Linked DNA regions of Saccharomyces cerevisiae S288C. The protein of the gene in region 2 interacts with the protein of the main gene of each other region in a pairwise test. Each region holds a gene or a part of one and is shown on either strand. Other genes may lie near its edges. The genes, in order: RIE1 and SGN1.

Region 1 (4,834 bases), on a different chromosome or scaffold from region 2:
TGCATTGGCTATAGAGGCCGCACCTAAATTGTATCTTTTGATTTATGTAACTGCCACACTTTCTCTAGCACAGTCATGATACGGCTTTTTTTCATTTAGCCACCAAATACTGTAAATATCGTTTTAGAACGTTATGAAAAAATGCTCATCCACTTAAAAACCTCTCCGTATTCTGAAAGTTGGTATAATCTTGCACTTTAAGTGTATATCTTTTTATGCAATCTTTTTGAATAATGAGTGTTTTTCAAAATTTTGACATTCATGTGAATTGTTTATCTATCCTTTGCATAGTAAAAAAATAGATGCAGAATTTACTCACCTCAAGGAGGGGCAAAGTAATAAGAAAAGTTACCATAGGCTAGTTGAATGTCCAAGATCGTAAAGAATGAAGAAAAAAGGAGTAAAAAGTATGAATAAGATAAATGAAAATATAAAAATAAAAACCAACTAATACATGAAGAAAAAAAAGCAGACAAAAACATTTTATGGACCTGATGCAATCTAGTAGTCCATAGAATAATCACCACTAGAAAATTCTTCCTCTTCATTACTACCGTTTGCCATTATAGGAATATGATTTGCTGCAGGATTCTGCGGAGGTATTATATAGGGCACTGGCGGCACCTGTGGAATAAACCCAAATGATGGGAACATTGGCATCATCCAGTTAGCGTTATTTTGGTTTGCACTTATTAAGTTGTAACTGTTCACGGGCTTTGTGTTGGTATTAGGGTACTGCAGTGGTATGAAATAATTTTCCCTCGAGACTTGCTGTTGCGATTGGTTCTGAGTCATCAAGGCATTGATAAATTTCTTATTATACTTTGTTGGATAAGCCTTATGATAATCATTATGTGGCTGAAAATTTTGGAACTTTGATGAGTTATCAGTTTGGGATTGATCATCATCATCACTTGAAGATAAATTACCACGTTTCTGAGCGAAAGAAACAGATAACACTTGATCTTTGCTCACTTGATACCCGTCTGTATTCAAAATTGCCTTAGCAGCATCTAATGGGCTTTCAAAAGAAACAAAACCATAACCTCTTGATGATCCCACTGGCAGATCATTATCTGATGAGCTATCATTCGATTGTTGACGATACTTGTTCTTACTACCCCCAACAGTAATGACCTTAACGCTGATTATTTCACCGAAAGATTTGTAGAAATCATATAAATCTTCATCTGTCCAAGAAAGAGGGATGTGCTTGACATATAGGTTTGATTCTTGCTGATTACTCATTGGTATAGGTAAGCTGTAAGAAGTTGATGGGTACTGGTACATGTCAAACTTGTTGCCCATGAATCTAGGCACACGTTGACCACGACCTTCACTGAAAGATTCCCTTTGAGGATAGAACAGATCCATTTTCTCTGCCACAGGGGTTGATCTTACAGAATCAAAATACCGTACATTGGAGGTATCGTTGCTGTTCCCGTTTTTATTATTGTTGAAGTAATATCTATCATATGTATAATTATTGTAATCATACATTGGGTTATTTGCAAATTCCAAAACCTCCATATCATTGTGGTTACTGATGGAAGGGTGCCTGTCATGGCTATTGTGGTTGTTGTAAACTTTATGTTGAACCGCCTTATTAACAACGAGCCTGTTTCCATGCCACATGAACCCATTGAAGGTCTCGATGGCTGCTAGTGCTTGTTCATGGTTGATAAGCTTGATGAAACCATAACCCTTCAACATATCTTCATCTTGGGCATTTCCATTAGTATTATTGGAAGATTTGTTTGATTCTACTGACCCCTCCTCATTGAAACTTACTGAACTACTGCTTCTTGTATTACTTCTCTTCGGAAAGTAATATGAAATGATATCAAAGTCCGGAAACTTTTTTGATAACTCCTTCTTGATTACTTCTATGACTTCTTTAGGTGTAATCAAAGTCTCTACTTTTTCAGGATTGTGATAAGGCAAGTTGCCTATAAAGAGACACCTGAAATTATCATCATTGTTGTTTTCTTTGACATGGTCCCAATGGATTCTTTCTCTCTCCTTTCGCTCAACGTGATAGTTGATAAATAGTGTGGAGCCATTTACCGTCCTTCCATTAAGTTCCTTGATGCAAAGTGAAGCTTGAGAACCCAAGGGGTAGGAGATGAACCCGTATCCGTTAGGTTCGCCTTTCGTTTTATCATATATCAATTTCATTGATAAAATTGGTCCATATTTTGAAAATAAGAAACTTAGTTCACCAATAGAAAGGCTCTTTGCTATTCCCCCGACAAAAATATTTCCAGGATAGGTTAGTGCATGCTTGTTCACACCGATAGACCATTTATCAATATGCTGACCAATAGGTTCGCTCTTGAGTAATTCCGAGATATCTGTACATGCATTTTCTAATGACTTGGGGTACTTGAATTGTGCTTGCAAAACGGTATCGTATCTCCAATCATCTTCCTCTTCGTTATCTTTGTAAGATTTCTCATACTCTTGACTTCCATGCTCGTAAAGATAGATGTCTTTATTTTGTTCGAGAACCTGTAACCTCCTTGTATCCGGAAGAAATTCATATGTTTCTGTATCAGAGTTGTTAACGGAGATACCTTTGTAGTGCTGTATTGTGTCCATTATTTGATCGGTTATTCTAGAGTTGCAGTGATCATCTTCTTCTTCTTGTAACTGCCATTTTATTCTTATGGTTAATAAATTTGTGTTGGCCAATTGTTCCAGTTGAAGACCAGTGGAAGTTTTCCTTTCAATTTTTATTGATTGGTCTCCAGCTTCTGCGCTCGCTGATGTCTGCTGGCTGCAGATATCTGTATCCTCGGGGCCACTAGATATTACTTCATCTGATGGTTCTTCTGCAATATTCATCCTCGAAACTTCTGATGCGGTTTGTCTTTCACGTATAATGTTTTTAGTAAAATAAAACTTATGGTTTATTTTTGGATTTTTAATCAGGGTGCCTTGTAATTTGGGATGTGTGCTATGCTTTACTTGTTCACACTTTTTTTGAGACCGTTGAACGAACTAAAATTAAGAACACTCTAATCCTTCGAACAAAAGGCACTTTTCAACTATTATTTACTTATTCAATATTTAAGGGAAGTTTCTTTATTGTGCTTGACATATATATATGTATTTATTTATATAGCGCAGTGGCCAAGAAAATGTTAACGTGAAATAACGACTAACGGGCAGGCGTTATGCACGGAAAGAGATCTACTAAATTCCGCCCAATAGGGAATCTCCGACTGAATTTTTTTGCCCTTTGGTCAACTATTCCCGGGAAGGGCATAAATTGAATCAAGCGCCAATTTTACGTCTTCGGCTAGTAATCGGATCAGCGGGAGAAACATCGTACGTACACAAGAGAATACCGAGAGTGTCGATTAATCAACCACGCTCCATGAGGCTTATCCGCATTCTACTTGCATGTTAGCCGGGAAAAGACATAAATCATCTCAATTCTCTAGAATACTCTAGAGATTATGTAAAAGCGTAGCCCCGTAGATGATTAAATAATTTTCGGTTTCTTACCCCGTAACCACGAGTTGCGGTGTTTTTGCTTCTATCGGGGCAATAAGCGGGCGCTGCTTCTCGGGAATGTAAAAACTGTGCTTCCTACCATGAAGTAGTTGGATCTTGAAATGGGTTGGGCCGGAACAATATGCAAGTACTACAATCCTTGTATTCCCATATGATTATATTCCCCTTTGCATAGGCTAGTGTTTTTTTTTTCGTTCTTTTGTTTCTTCCGCTAGGAATAGTAGTGGCGATCTGCAGAAAGACGCTCTAAGGAAAAAGAGAGAATTTCGATCAGTCCCGTACACATTACTCTTGGGAAGTTCAATTCCTTCGGACGTAATCCACATACGAACTTGGCTCTCATCTGTTGTCTTCAAGCTGTTGCGGCCCTCCTCTTTCTCTCTGTTGTACACATTTTTTGACTTTCAAAAATATGCCGCTAAGGAAACATAACCCTTGTGTATGTGAGCTTGTAGCATATGATATAGTGCTCATTGGCATGTGACAAGAATTGCGTATGTAATTGAAGTTTGTAGTGTAATTTACGAAAATAGCCGCCCTTCTTCTTCATTAACGATTATTGAGCGTAATGATATAAGATACAACGGTTTATTTAGGGCTGCATCCATGAAAATACTTTGTAATAGTGAGTCGTCGCCTTGTTTGTTTATTCAATACAATGCAGTGTCTCTATAGTCTCCTCCTTTAGTTTCACTATCTTTTCTAACCGCCGAAGATATACGAGTGTTCTGAACGAAAAACGACCTTTTCAAACATAGAATATAATTGTATATATACATATACATATATGATACGCAGCCACATTCGTAGTATCTTTAAGACACTGCCTTTCAAAAAAGCTTTGGTATTTTGAAAGAAGATCGAAGCCAAGGAACCAGGACTACAATGAATTAGACGCTACAAAGTTTCTTAATTGGAAAACAAGGAGGGACAAGGAGGAGACTTTTACAGTAAACCAGAATGCTCCTTCACTGTTCAGTTATGTAATGTTATTGTTTGGAAGATCTGAAGAGAGGCATTTCCTACAACCTCTTGAATAAAATAGTGGAAGGCATTTACACAAAGAAGCCGTGCCACTTTGGTCCGGATTTTTTTTACCTAAAATCGTCTTAAATTGGCCTGTTCGATAGCTGTCATTTGTTTTAGATATTTATTTCCTAACGTCAGCTTTAGTTACAGTATGTATGTATCAACCTTTTAGTAAGACAATAATGATTGCATGTTTGATCCTGCTTTAAAGGCATTGGAAGTAACCGTAGTGGCCGCTGTTTCTTCTTGACGGCCTGTAATTGACCTGCGACGCGGGCAATTT
Region 2 (3,532 bases):
AAAAGATATGGGTATGTTAGATAATATCCTAGCTGATCTGGAACTTGATGTATAATTCCGCATTCAATAACCTTATGTATTTTTACGCGTCACTGCGAACGGATGAATATTGCCAATGACTGCTGCGCACTCTTAAAAAATATAATGACAATTATAATAAGAAGTATGATACTTTTTCTGTAAAAAATATATATACATATGATTCACGTGAAAATTTTTATATTTTTAATTAAATTTTTATAATATTATAAATTATTATAATATTGATATTTAAAATTAAAAACAAATTATTAATGGTTTTGTTTTCCGAAATGTTTTTTATAATTATTACTTCAGAATAGTTATTTTCACGAATACGAGATACAGGGTAATGAAAACAGGTGTTATCCAAAAAAAAAAATTGATATATTTTAGATACTTTACATACAGAGGCAAGCTTCAGCTGTAGCCAGGTACATAATATTCCCTATAAAGTGATCAATATTTTTTAACGAAAAATTAAAAAAAAAAATCCTTGAATAAAGGAATGAAAATATTGTAACAAGCGATGACATTTCTTTTTTTGATTGTAGTTGTGGCATTTTATATTTGCTTTTGCATTTACCCTATTCTTGAAGGTTTGGATAGACAAGCGAGATAACACCAGTTGTCCTTCAACTTATTCAAAGCAGCAGCTCACTTAATTATTATTAAGTATACACATGAAAGCCTTGTGTTTATTTCGAATCTTTTTCTTGGGTAGAACTTTTAACGTTGTCAGACGGCATGACAACAGGTTTTTGGGAAGTAGATCTAATATTTTTTGTAGAGTCTTTGGCACTGTTGAAGTGTTTTTTTTGGAAGGTTCTATTCTTGTTATTGTAAGGACTCCTATAATAATTGTTCTTATTATATCCGAAATTTTGATTTGGAGACTGATTTGGAGGGTACGGTGGGTAATAAGGGAAGGTATCGGGATTGGGGTAGGCCATTAAGGGATAATTCCATTGCCATTGTTGGAAATACTGGTTTTGCGAGTTGTAATGCCTATTAAATCCTGGAATGTTAGTTCTTTTTCTGGAGACAGCAATTTTTTTGCCTTTAAGTTCTCCTCCATTTAATTGCAGGGCTTTTTCTCTGTATGCCGGACTTTCAAATTCAATATAGCCGTAGCCTTTTGGTGTTCCCGTATTCCTATCATAAAGAAGTGTTATTCTTTTTATCTGGCCACAGTCTTTGAAATGATCTTCTATTTGCTCTGGGGTGACATCCGGAGTGATGTTACCGACAAAGATAGAACGCGAGTCAGCTTCAAGTTGATGAGCGTGTTTTTCCTCCTTGCTTAGCTTTTGCGACACCTGTGGAGTGCCCTCGATAGATAGTTTACCCACAAGTTCATCCAGCTCGAGCTCTTGCTTGTCGTTCTTTTTATTGTTCGAAATTTCAGTCTTTAAGGTTGCCTTAGCATCCACTTTCTCTTCCTGGGACATAACAGCAATTGCAAATGATGACACTATGTGACAGCAGATATATGTTTATGTTAATAGGCCTGGTTGGAGAGCGAAAGTTGAGATTACTTACTTAATCAAAATTAAATTTGAAATTTGCTGCATTTTAAGGTTACTTTTCGGAGTGTAGGAAATTGTTGCGGTTTTTTTTCACCTAACGAATGATTGATAATCTTTTTCATATCCTCCAAGAAACAAGCTGTTTATTATGGTGATTGCCACAAATTGAAGCGCTATGCTTAGTGCTTCATGACAGAAAGGTTTTGCATTGGTAGGCGTGGAAGATTACAGATTGTACTCGTCGTTGGCTCAATTTTTATATTTTGTTGCTTCAAAAACAGTGCCGTATCCTTAATGAATGAAAAATTCTAAAGAAAATAAGTTGATACTAAAAATATAATGTCCTTGAAGTATTTATGCGATATATAGAAAAATCTATAAATACTTAAATATTACAGCAGCGTTATTTTTGTATAGACGCCGACGTATAAGAGTCTCCTATCAAAAATCAGAATCTGAGCCCAGTATGTCATCTAATTCTGCGTTCGATAAGGTAAAAGATTGGGATGAATCATGGTTGACACTGTTGTTATCGACTTGACTTTTATCGTTAACTTTTACAAATTTTTTTTCGTCTCGTAACATGCCTCTCGCCAAACATTTAGTATAGTTCATATCAATTGTCCTCTTCTTATTATCATTACTCTCGTCGTTAAATAACGTAATGATTTTTGAAACTTTGTGACAATGCGGAACTTTTACCCCTTTGGTGTATTGTACAAAATTGGGCTCCACATCGAAGGAAACACCTTCTGGGATATAGCGGTTTCTGAAAAAATTCCAATCGTCCAAACTCAATACCATGTTATTCTTGTCAACAGTACAGCTCTTTTCTTTTTCAAGGTTGTGTTGATTTCCTCGGATGTCTTTCACATTTTTCTCGATTTTAGTTGGAAGACCACAATCATTCACAAATAAAGCCATATTAGGGCGTTCAAAATTATGAAGTGGCTTGAGTGTGGTAAGACTTTCGCCAGTGCGAATAATGGCAGTTTCCAAATCTTTTTGGCATCCATTCTGCCCTTCCGCAATGAAAACATTATTATCATCACTGACTTCTTCATCTTCAGTTTCTAATGAGGAGGAAGCTTCCTCGGTTGAATCATTCTCCAGATTATCCAAAGCTTTAAAAATCTTCCGCTTCTTACTTGGGTTTTCATTACTCGTTACTAGTTGTTTCCCGCCACTTTCATTCACCAAGAACTTATTAATTAAAGTGCTTGCACTAACAATACTGGTCTCAACATTATCAGGCATAAAGAACTTCTTCGGTTTTTTATTTTCCTGAACTCTCTTCTTCTTTGTTATGGCTTTTTTTGGCTTCACCTTTTTGCCCATCATACACTGAGTCGCATAACGAATAACTTCGTCAACATCTTCCATTTCATTAATTATTTCGTTTTCATCATTAATCGTGATCAATGTCTCGTGACATTCCGGAATAATGTCTTCAGGGATTATCCGATCTGATTTTTTATAGTCAATGCATTGCTTGGATATAAGCGCTTGCAGGGTTGAATAGTCTTCCATAGCACGCTCGAATTTGTATGATTCATTACTGCTAAACAGTAGTACTATCTTACCATCTCGTTTTCTGCCTGTTCTACCCATACGCTGAATATTTTTGATTGGACTACTTGTAGTATCATAACAGATTATTAAATCAACTTCTCCGATATCCAAACCTTCTTCTCCAATTGATGTACAAACGAGAACATTATATTCACCCTTTTTGAAATTATGGATAACCTCTTTTTGCATTTTTTGGTTCATTCCGCTAATCTGAGCCTCTTCAGAGCTCCCCGTTCGTCTGGCACTTCTTTCAAGTTTATCATTCGCCGCTCTCTTAGTTCGTTCAGCTTCCAAAAATTTCTCTTGCTCTTGCCTATGCAATCTCTCTACCTTCTTCCTTCCCTTTGGCGCATGTTTTCTTGTGTATTTGACCTCATCAAAACCTTCTTTTGCACGAGCTTGTCCAATAAAAA

Evidence for each region.
Region 1: the proteins of SGN1 (region 2) and RIE1 interact in binary tests that used the Saccharomyces cerevisiae proteins (3 or more experiments, as listed by UniProt).

The regions. Positions count from the first base shown.
Region 1 is NC_001139.9:990,675-995,508, forward strand, and holds RIE1 (Rie1p), read right to left. Parts: upstream 2,848-4,834; coding exon 502-2,847; downstream 1-501.
Region 2 is NC_001141.2:355,427-358,958, forward strand, and holds SGN1 (Sgn1p), read right to left. Parts: upstream 1,470-3,532; coding exon 717-1,469; downstream 1-716. Other genes in the region: YIL001W (uncharacterized protein), read left to right, coding at 1-55; MPH1 (3'-5' DNA helicase), read right to left, coding at 1,989-3,532.